2 linked regions of the Mus musculus genome follow. The main gene of each other region encodes a partner of the protein of the gene in region 2 in a complex. Links are inferred from orthologs where the notes say so. Each region holds a gene or a part of one and is shown on either strand. Other genes may lie near its edges.

Region 1 (5,411 bases), on a different chromosome or scaffold from region 2:
CTCTCCCCTGATGTCTCACAAACATTGGCAGATGCCCAGTTTCCTACTACCCTCCATGTCATAAACATAACACTGCTGACAGAGGTGGCTAGGGTCGGGGCATCTATAATTCCTAAGGCTTGGAGCCATAAACCACAATCCCCTTCCCTGTTTTCCACCTGCCTCTAGTGAAAATCTCCACTAAGGTGTGATACTTCAAGCTAAGAAACCAAGAAGGCTGGCTTCCAAGAGTCTTCCCTGTGACCCTCATTCATAGCAAGAGATCGTAAAGACTCAAGTTCTAAGCTCAAGGCCAAGTAATTTGGATTTGGCCAAACCCCCATGTGACAGATGCTTCACTTTCTAAGACTTAAGACTGTCTGCCAGTGCACAGAACGAAGCCTGAGAGGAACCTTTTACAAGGCTGGAGAGCTCGTGTGTGAAAAAAGACAAGTTTGAAAAGAGAAGCTGGGGACCCATACCTTGGCCTTTGGGGGCGGCCATTTCCAGGTCTGTGGGACAGTCCGCTTCTCCGTTCATTCTCCAGCTGTCCAGCCACCTCCTCGGTCGCGCTGGCCGGGCCACCCGGGGTCAAAGCCACCTCACCCTTTTGAAGAGACACCAAACCCACTTAAGGAGGCTGAGAGGAGGGGGGCTTTCTATCCCACCCCCTCACACATGGGAGGGGGCATAGGTCCACACTCTCAGCGAGACCCGAACAGGAGGCTCATAGACTTCATCAGTGGGTGCAGGAGTGAGCCCCACTCTTCTCTACCCCAGCCCCCAGAGCCAGGCGGTGCCGCATGCGCCCTCCCCTGCCCACGCGAGAGACTGCTCCCAGCTCCCGCGTGCAGCTAGCTCCCGCCCTCCGGCCTCCTTCCCCCACCCGGGCAAAAAAAAAAAAAAAAAATTCTCCTCCTCCTCCTCCTCGGTGAGCGCCCGCCCCGGGGAGGCCCCAGGCTGGAGGGCGGGGGAGGAAGGGCGGGTAAAGGGCGCGCGCGGGCATGGAAGCGGGCACGCGCCTCAGTCTCCTCCTCCCGCTTTTCCCCGGCCGGTTCCCCCCGCCTCCGCAACCCGGCGGGGACCCGGACGCCGCGCAGCCGCCGCCAGCCCGGGAGCGCAGCGGCCGGACCGCCCCCGGGGACTAGATCTGGATTCCCGCTGCTACCCCCCTCCCGACCTCCCAACGCGGTCCCCGCCTGTCCGGGCAGGCGAGCAGTCGGAGAAGCGGCCTAGCTTGTCCCCCGTCCCCGAACCACCCGGGGCCGGAGACGCCGCCGCCACCACCCAGCCACCCCAACACGCACGGAAGAAACCCGGCGCAGAGGCGCGACCGCGGCGGGAACGGCCGCCTCCTCCCCGAGCCTGCGGCCCAGCCCTGCCGGCGCCCCCGCCCCGGCCTCCGGGGAGCCGAGCCAAGCAGAGGGCGGGAGGACGGCGGCCGCGAGGCGGGGGCGCTTCGCTCACCGGCCCCGCCGCCCCCTCCGGCGGCCGGCGAGAACTGCGCCTGTCGGCCGGAGAAACGCGGGCTCCTCCACCCGGGGCCTCACTTGGGCCTCGCTTCCTGCCCTTCCTACCCCCGGCTCACGGCGCCCTTCCCCGTTCCCTGATCATCTTGTCTACAGTTCTCCCGGTATCGCCACTCGGCGTCTACCGCAGCCGCGGCTCGCTCCCTAGCCCCGGCCCCGGCGCACGTCCTCCGCCGCCTCGGTTACCCGGCGCAGCGCGGCCTCTGAGCTCCCCGCTCCGGCGGCTCCCTTCTCGGCTCTGAGCGCGGCGCCCTCCCCCGCTCGGCCGGGCACAGCCGCAACTCCCTCCCGCGGCGGCAGCGGCTCCTCCTCCGGGCGCGGCGGCGGCGCTGGGGCGGCGGCTGCTGCTGCTGCTGTGGCGGCGGCGGCTGTGGCTGCTGCCTGCTGCTCCTCGCGGCGAAAAGCACAAAGCACAGCGCCCTCCGCCTGCAGGCAGCCCGCCCGCCCGCCCGCCGGCCCCGGCCTCAGCTCGCACACCCCCCGCCGCCGCAGCAGCCTCCGCCGCCGGAGCGGGGAGGAGGGAGAAGGGAGGAGGAGGAGCGGGAGGGGGGGCGGGAGAAGCGGGGCAGCGAGCGCGTCCTTCCCCGTAGAGCGCACACCGACCCCCGGGGAGCGAGCGCCAGCCCGCCCGCCTCGCCGGCTCCGCTCCCTCCCACAGCCTGCCCGGGCGGGCTCCGCGGGGGGCAGCTGGGAGGAGGGGCGGGCGCTGGGGGGACCCGGGCGGCCGAGGCGGAGGCAAGGAAGGAGGGGAGGGGGGTGGTGGTAGTGGCGGCGGCGGCTGCTGCTGTTGCTGCCGCCGGGGAAGGGGGGGGCCGGGACAGGGAAGACACGCAGCCGCCCGGATGGCGGCGGGGCTGCGAGCCGAGGCGGGCGAGCAAGCGGGCGGCTAAAGCGACCTCGCCAGCCCCGCGGGGGAACTAGCAGGCTTGGCCGGCGCGGGAGGAAGGGAGGGCCGAGGTGCGGCGGTGGAGAGGGTGGCCGGCGAGCCTCGCGGGTGCCGGCAACCCTGCTCTGGAGCTCTCTTCCAGGCTCTCCCAGCTTAAGCTCGGTTTCCCGGCCTAGTCCTCATCTGCTCCTCTCTCCCGCCTCCGGGAGCGGGCTAGCGACCACCCTGGTCCCCGGAGCGTGGCTACCGGCTTGGGACTCACGCTCCCGGATCGCGGTGCGAGGTTTCGGCGCCTACCTCTCGGTTCCCTTATGCTCCGCAGAACACCCGTGAAACTTAAAATATATATTCTTAGTCCCCTAAACAACAAAAACCTCTCCCGTCCCTCCTCACACCCGGGAATCGGCCAGGAGCTGCCGACCCCAGCGGAAGAGTCACTCTGGGAGCCGGTTCAATCCAGCCCGGCATGGCTATCCAGGCCTTCCCGGGCGCGTGGAGGACGGAGATTGGCGCCGCCAGAGAGCAACCCCTTTCCCCCGAAATCCGCGGCACCGAGGCTTACTTACCGAGCAAGTGGGTGCTAGTGAGGGCCGGGGGCGCCAGGCAGCACGGCAAGCGGAAGAGCCGAGCCGCAGCTCCGCAGCTGCCGGCGCCCGGGCAGCGAGTCTCCAGACAAAGCCCGAGATGGCGAAGCGGAGCGACGGCTAATGGCGAGCCCCACGCGCCGCGCTCCGCCCGCCCCGCTCCGCCCGCCCGCCCGCCCGCCTCGGCGCAGCGCAGCGCAGCGCCGCTCCGAGCGCTCGCCCGTCAGAGCCGCCTTGGCGCCGCCGCCTCCCGGGCCGCCCCGGCCTCGCCTGGCCCCTCCGCCTCCTCCGGGCGGCTCAGCCTCACCCCTTCCCTCCCACCGCTCGGGGGCTGCACGAAATTTTAAAAAAAGGAATAGTAAAAAAAAAAAAAAAAAATGTTTTTTGCTTTTTTTTTTTTTTCCAAGGCAGATGTTTTTCGACATTTAGCTCTTTTTTGGCTCCCAGCTCCCACTCACCTGCGGGGCCTCCGGCAGGGCTGGGGGCGGGGGTGCGCGGGGCTGGAGCCGCCGAGCGCGGGTTGAAAGCTAGCCAAGCTCTGCAGCGCCCGACCCGGGCGTGTACGCCGCCGCCAGTCCCCGCAGAGAAATCGTCCTCCTACCCCCGCCTCCATCGCTCTGCGTTTCTCTTCCAATCAGCCGGTCGCTTGGCGGCTCCTCCAGTCTCCGGCCAAGCCAGCTGCCTAGAGCGAGCTCCACTCCATCTGCTTGCCCGACTCCTCGCTCTCCTGTCGGGGCGGGCAAGGCAGCTTGAGGCCGGAGGGGGATCTGTGAGGGATCCTGCCTGCTCCCTCTCCCATTGCTCCATCCTTGCTGTCTCCTGCCTCCTCCTCTCCTGCGTTTTTCCAACTCTCCCCTGTCGCCACTGGTGTGTGTCTGTGTGCGCAGGTTTTCTCTCTCTCTCTTTTTTTTTTTTTTTTTATTGCTTTGCTTTTGCAACCCTGAAGCTAAAGCGGGATGGGGGCGAAGGGGAATGTTACAAAAAAGAAAAAGGGAAAAAAAAAAGCCTCCTAGGTTTGCAACGTATGAAAATACCCGGGAAGTACCCCGCCTCGTTTGGGTCTCGGTGCCCGGCGAGGGCCTTCCGGATTTCAGAGCCAGTCTTGGGTTGTTCTCGATGTCCCCCATCTTCACCGGCCGTATGATCCGAGGAGTTAAGAACAAAAAGTTCACCCCTGTGTCGTAGTAGGGTGTCAGTGGGAGTTGGGGAGGTTTTTCAAGAAGCAGCGGAACGGCCATCCCTTTACCCTGGGCTTCAGTAACTAGGCCGCGACCGGGGTAGGGGTTTAGAGCAAAATCCCAGCGCGTTTGTGCGAAAGAGCTGGAAGGGGGAAGTCGGAACCGGGAACGGAGCTTCGTGCGTCTCCCCCTCGGTCTCTGCTTCCAGTTGCCTGCAAGCTCCCCCTTTAATTTTTTTTTTTTCTCCTCCTTTCCTTTAATCTAATTTCTTCCAACTCCACCTTTGTTGTTACCGGCGTCACGCCTGGATCAGCCAATCCCCTTCTCGCAATCAGCTTGTCAAAAAGGCTTGGCCAGCCCTGAGAAAGCAGGCCGCGGGCGCTGTCCCCCCACCCCGGCGACGACGGGGAGCCCACAAGAGAGCTCCGCACCCCGGTTTAAGGCAGGATTTGAGCAGCCCGGCAACCACAGATCTAACCTCCCGTATTCCACCATCCAGCAAGTCTGGGGAGAAAAGGCCTGGGCGTGTGCCGCTTTTTAACCTCCCACTGCCATCGGTTCTAGTGGTCTTTACCTCCCCTGCTAGTGGGCTGAAGGGATATCAGGATTAGTTGTAGGGAGGCAGAAGGCAATGTGAAGGACGCTGGTTTCCACCAGGTCGGCCCACGCTTGGTTTGTGTCATCACTCCCCGGGACACGCCATGGCTCCTGGCTCCTCGGGCTGCCACAATAACACTGCTGTTGCTCACATCTCAGCCAGCTGGGTCGCACAGTCTCTTTGGACCATTTCTTGGCACACTGCCTTCTCCATCCACAGTTTCGTTGCTGGTGTAATTCCTCTTGTCTCCTGGGGAAAATGAGATTTCTTTCCCAGGATTTCCACATCCCACTCTGCCACGTTGCAGGAACAGATCTGCTGTGCTCAGCTTAGAAGCACCGCGTGTAGGAGAGGCAGATTGGCCGTGATAAAGAAGGGTAGCCTTCAAGGCCTCTTCCTTGGATGACCTACTGAAGAGTCTGTTCTTAAATTATTTTGTTTGTTTCGTTTGGATTTTTGAGACAGGGTTTTTCTGTGTAGCCTTGGCTCTCCTAGAGCTAGCTCTGTTTACCAGGCCAGCCTCGCACTTAACCCGAGATCTGCCTGCCTCTGCCTCCCAATTGCTGAGATTTTAATATTTTATTTTTTATTAAAGAGTCTATCCCCTTCGCTTGCTTTTACTCCCTTCCTCTCTTCCCTCTGTCCGTTTTCTCTCCA
Region 2 (5,196 bases):
CTGAGAAGAGGTCCTAAGCTGATTTTGTTCCCCACAGTCTTCTGTGCCAGCTGGAGGAGGCCACTATGGGTTCTCTGGACTCTAGCCTAAGGCAAAGCCTTTTTCTTTTTTTTTTTTTTTTAAAGATTTATTTATTAATATATGTAAGTACACTGTTGCTGTCTTCAGACACTCCAGAAGAGGATCTTGTTGCGGATGGTTGTGAGCCACCATGTGGTTGCTGGGATTTGAACTCTGGACCTTTGGAAGAGCAGTTGGGTGCTCTTACCCACTGAGCCATCTCACCAGCCCGCCTTTTTCTTTAAAACAACAAAAAACCAGGGGTGGGGTAGGGTGGGTATGCTATGCCACACACACCTTTAATCCCAGAATCCAAGAGGTAAAGGCAGGCTGACTGTTGTGAGTTTCAAACCAGCCAAAGCTGGTCTCAAAAAACAAAACAAAAAAACCCACCAAAATTCTCAAAGGGATCAATGTGCTAGAAAGAACCCGGGGTACTTGATGCAGATGCCTAGGAGCTAAAGCACTACACCACCTCCTTTGGCCTAGAGTAGGCTTCTTAGGACTACATGCTGTGGGGATTGGGTCAAGGGGCAGGGCTGCCTAGCTGTCGGGCCTGGGAAGATTCTGGAAACAAGATCCTCAGGCATGGGCAGCAGATAGGCTCACACAGCTGATGGGCTTTAGGACCCAAGAAATTCGTGAGGCCTGTGGCCTTGGGCGTACTCCTACAGTATCTGGGTTTGGTTGGGTGGCACAAGCCGTCCTTTAAACTCAACACTCGGGAGGCAGAGACTGATCTCTTTAGTTCAAGGCCAGCCTGGTCTGCAGAGTTGAATTCCAGGATAGTCAAGGCCAAACAGAGAAACCCTGTCTTGGAAAATGAAAGGTAAATAAATCTGGGTTTGATTCCCAATACCTGATGGCAGCTTATACATTCTATAACTTTACTCTCAGGGGATCTGGCCTCTGTGGGGACACAGTGATACAAAGACTTATAAGCAGACCAAATACCCAAATGCATAATAACCCTAGCACAAGGATTGGGACCTCCAAGCACGCTCAGCATTCCAAAGGAATATTGTCACCAGGCTTGGGCCCATCCATACCTGTGGATGGTGTGGTGCCCACATCCATTATGCCCATCCTGAACACAGGCAGGAAGCGGAGAGGCCCTAAAGCAATGTGGTACAAGACTACTGTAGGGCTACCTCGTTGATCAAAGTGGTCAAGGCCCCGGGGAACGGAAGCAGGGTACTCCTCCACAGGACGAGACTCCCAGTCAGATGAAGGGGAAGGAGACCAGCCCTAGGGGAAAGACTGGAGGCAGGCCAGGTAGCCTCAGAGACAGCACAGACATGGACATGGAGCACCTTGGAAGTTAGACCTGTTGGTGGTTCTGCAAACATCTTTACTAAACAGTTCCTTCCAGGGTAACAGGACTTAGCCACAGGGCCACAGCCAGGCAATACACCAACATCCCCAATAGCTCAGTTTGAACATAGCACGACAGGCTGCCCGTGGCCAGCAGGAGACAGAGGAGGGCAGGCTCCAGCGGTCACTTCTCTAGGGGTGCATAGTTCAGCAGCTTCTCAATCAGGTCCACGTGTGCTAGCAGCATGCGGCGGCAGCAGTAGCGCTTTAGGCCCAGAGCGTCCAGGGCATCCCTGTAAAGAGAAGAGTGAGGCTGGATGTGGTCTCTAGAGTCTGGATAGGTTTGGAACCACCTCCAGCTTGCCTCTGGGTATTCGTGTGGATAGGGGTTACCAGAGCACATCTACATAATCAGCGATTGAAACCTGACACCAGGCCATAGGGAAATGGCCTGGAGATTTCTGAAATATGTATCTAGATGCTCAGGGAGGAGCCAGGTGACCCTTTCCCCACCTAGAAGTTACACCTGCTCATGTGCCAGTCTTCTCCCATAGCATCCTGTATCCATCCTTAACAGCCTTCTGCCTACACCTGTTTTTTAAAATTTCGTTTTATGTGTATGGGTGCCTGATGCTCCCAAAGCCCAAAGGAGTTACGGACACTTGCGAGATACCATGTTGCTTCAAGGAACGGAACCTGAGTCCTCTTAAAAAACAATCAAACAACCAAACACACAAAACAGCCAGTGCTCTTAACAGTTGAGCCATCTAGCTGGGTGTGGTGGTGCACACCTTTAATCCCAAGCACTTGGGAGGTAGAGGCAGAGGCAGGTGAATTTCTGAGTTCGAGGCCGGCCTGAGCTACAAAGTGAGTTTCAGGACAGCCAGGGCTACACAGAGAAACCCTGTCTTGAAAAACAAAACAACAACAAAAAAAACAGTTGGGCCATCTCTCTAACCCCCTGTATCTCTGCGTTTGTCTCTTGTACCCAGGGTTATGGGCTTCCAGGGTTATTTGGGAAAGCTTAGGAGACCAATATCCCCTCATCAAGGAGTACAATTCCAGGCCCCACAGGTGGACTCTGACTAAACGCCATGAACTGGTTGTTGCTACCCCACAGGCTTTGAACTCACACTAGATTTAATTTCTCTGGGACCTAGACAGCTTGAGAGGTTCCTGCCCAAGTGAAAGAGGGTCCCAGAAGGCTAGCAGCTACTCATCAGAGCTGATCTAATAGCTGCTCATTAAGCCCCACTGACTTATGGCTTGTGCAGAGAAAGAGAACCCCTTGGTGTTGACATGGTGGCCAGAGGTCTATTTTGGGGGACAGTCATAGTAGTGAGCACAAGACGATGCCCACAAAGCCTGTCCTGCATTTTAAAGGGCCCACGAGGTTCGAAGTACATAAGGGGTAGGTCGGAAAGCAGATAGAGGATAGAGAGTAGGTCGACAGGGAAGAGACTTGAGGTGTCACCCACGGGAAGGATGCTTAGAAGTTTCCCAAAGGCCAGCAACTTGAAGAAAACCACCTTCCAAACTTCTGAGAGCCTGGGCGTGATATTGCACGCCTTTAATCCCAACATCCAGGAGACAGGCAGGATTTCGAAGTGTTTCAGACCAGACTGCTTTACATAGAGAATTCAGGTCAGCCACCGAAATCCTGCCTCGAAAACAAACTAAAGACTCACTCTTCTGGGAATACATCACAGGTCTGGGCTGGAGGACATCCAGTCTTCTCACTAGACCCCACAACCCCTGCCCTGCCAATTCTCCATAGGAAATCTTATCTACCCCCGGCCCAGGACACCTCAATTTCACTCCCGGTCCGCCGCAGAACCCTCCCCATTGCCCCTCGACTTCATGCCCCCAGTCCAGCCTTCCCGTCCTGTCCCATCCCCCGCGGCCCGCCGTCTCACCCCTCCGTGTACTCGGCCTGCAGCAGACCCAGGTAGGCTTCCCATTTGTTGCCGACGATCTTCCCGCAGGTGAAGCAGCGCACCGGGATGATCATGGCGGCGTCTGGCGTGCAGGCTGCCGGCAGTAGCTTTTCAAGGCCCGCCCCAGGCGCGCCCATAGCGCGGGGCTCATTACGCCCTAGCTCCGCCCCGTAAGATCCAGAGCCCCGCCCCGCATCTCCCTGAATCCCGCCGCAGCCCTGCCCCGGCTCCCATGATTACCCTGAAGCGGCGGTGTTCCTTGCTCGTGCCCACCCGGGGCTCCGAGAGCCTCCGAGCCCGCGGCAGCATCCCGGTCCCCCCCCTCCCGCTGTGGTGGTAGATCCCGGCGCTACGGCGTCCGAGCAAGGCCGAAAGGTCCGCGGCCGGCGGTTCGCGTTTCTCGTGTTGCCTTGACTGACAGCTGCTCCGCCGTGCGGCGGCGCGCACAGGTACGGCGGTTCTAGCGGGCTGGGGTCCCGCTGGCCGGATCGCAAGCCGACTGGAGCCAAGAGGTGGTTAACAAGTGGTGGTGGCGCAGCCGGAGAGCGGGCTGCCGACTGTCCACGGCCAAGGCGGTCTTCCCGCCTCCTGGCCCGGACTCCAAGGGGTCTCGGTCTGGAGCCCTTACCCGAGGTGCCCAGGCAGAGTCCGGGCCTTGGAGTTTGGGGCGTCCTTCTCTTCGGCCGCTGCAGAACCGTCGGCGGTACGGTGTCCCGAGCCCCGACGGCGGCCTCCCGCGCTCAGTACAGTCCTCTCCTCTGAGAAGGGTCTTTTCCTGGGGAGAGGAGCAGGGCGGTGGTCCGGGAAGGCGTCATGGAGGAGGCACCCTATGAACAGACCTTCTAACCTCTTTTTCCCGGGATATTTGGCTCAGACGCGGAGATTGCGTGCGAGACTGCTAGTGGCCACAGGTCTGCCTCACCTGGACGTGACTTAAGGACTTAAGGGAATGGGCAAGGAGCTGGTTTCTGGGGAGTGTATCACCTTGGCCGCCTTCTTGTGTGTTGGGAGCTACCCTTAGGAAAACGAGGCAGCTTGCAGTGAGAAGCTGGAGAAGTTCGATAGAGCTTGGGAAGTTTGAGATCTGGTTACAGTGAAGGCTCTGGGGGGTCCTAGACATTTTCCAGGTGCCTCTGGGAAACAAACGATGGAGGGGAGGTCGGGAGGGGTCTCCTGGGTCTTGAGTGTGGCTGGTCGGAGCCACTGGCCAGCTTGGTGGTTGTGCCCCCGATGTCACCCTGGACAGCCTCCCTGGCAGCTTTTGCCATCCCCCATGGAGCCACGTGCAGAGCCACGAGCTAGGCGACTTCCCGGTCCTGTCCCCTCCCCCCAACATCCTGCCCTGGCCAGAGGGGGCAGTGGGGGCCTGTGAGTCACTGTGGCCTGGGATCAGGCTCAAGATCTGGACTGAAGACTGCTGGTGGCCAGAGGTGAGGGTGGCAGGGGAGTGGGATAGGAGATGGTCTGTAGGGTCTGCCCTAGGGGATGGGGTGGAGGCCAAAGGCTTGGAGGAGGGGCTCTCAGTTCGGTCCGGCCCCTGGAAGACTTGTTTACTTAGGGAGAGTTGGGGAGTAGAAGCCTGTGCCAAGTTGACATTCCTGGAATTCCCGTGTGTGTGTGTGTGTGTGTGTGTGTGTGTGTGTGTGTGTGTGTGTGTGCGCGCGCGCGCGCAAGCCCACAGTTTCCAGTGGCTATCGTGGGTGGTGGCATCCTCTCCTCCCCTAGTTCCTGCTCCAGCTCCCTGGATTCCCAGAAATGGCCCAGGCTAGAGGACTCCAGGCTGTTCACCCAGACTTTGCTCATCCTGGAGTGCTGTGTGGGATGGGGGTGGAGTGGGGGGGGATATGCTGTGGGTCAGTTCTCTCCAGAGCCCTGGCAGGGATCC

Evidence for each region. The genes of interacting proteins can lie anywhere in the genome.
Region 1: Polr2l (region 2) and Ubtf share a complex: the UniProt entries of both Homo sapiens proteins name them as parts of the pol I pre-initiation complex. The link is inferred for Mus musculus from reciprocal best matches to the Homo sapiens genes POLR2L and UBTF.

Annotation. Positions count from the first base shown.
Region 1 is NC_000077.6:102,315,888-102,321,298, forward strand, and holds the start of Ubtf (nucleolar transcription factor 1), read right to left. Parts: upstream 3,210-5,411; 5' UTR 2,961-3,209; intron 2,169-2,960; exon of another isoform or gene 1,695-2,168; intron 1,401-1,694; exon of another isoform or gene 1,287-1,400; intron 819-1,286; exon of another isoform or gene 587-818; 5' UTR 520-586; coding exon 462-519; intron 1-461. UniProt on the Homo sapiens protein: Recognizes the ribosomal RNA gene promoter and activates transcription mediated by RNA polymerase I (Pol I) through cooperative interactions with the transcription factor SL1/TIF-IB complex.
Region 2 is NC_000073.6:141,471,738-141,476,933, forward strand, and holds Polr2l (DNA-directed RNA polymerases I, II, and III subunit RPABC5), read right to left. Parts: upstream 3,417-5,196; 5' UTR 3,386-3,416; coding exon 3,291-3,385; intron 1,668-3,290; coding exon 1,559-1,667; 3' UTR 123-1,558; downstream 1-122. UniProt on the Homo sapiens protein: DNA-dependent RNA polymerase catalyzes the transcription of DNA into RNA using the four ribonucleoside triphosphates as substrates.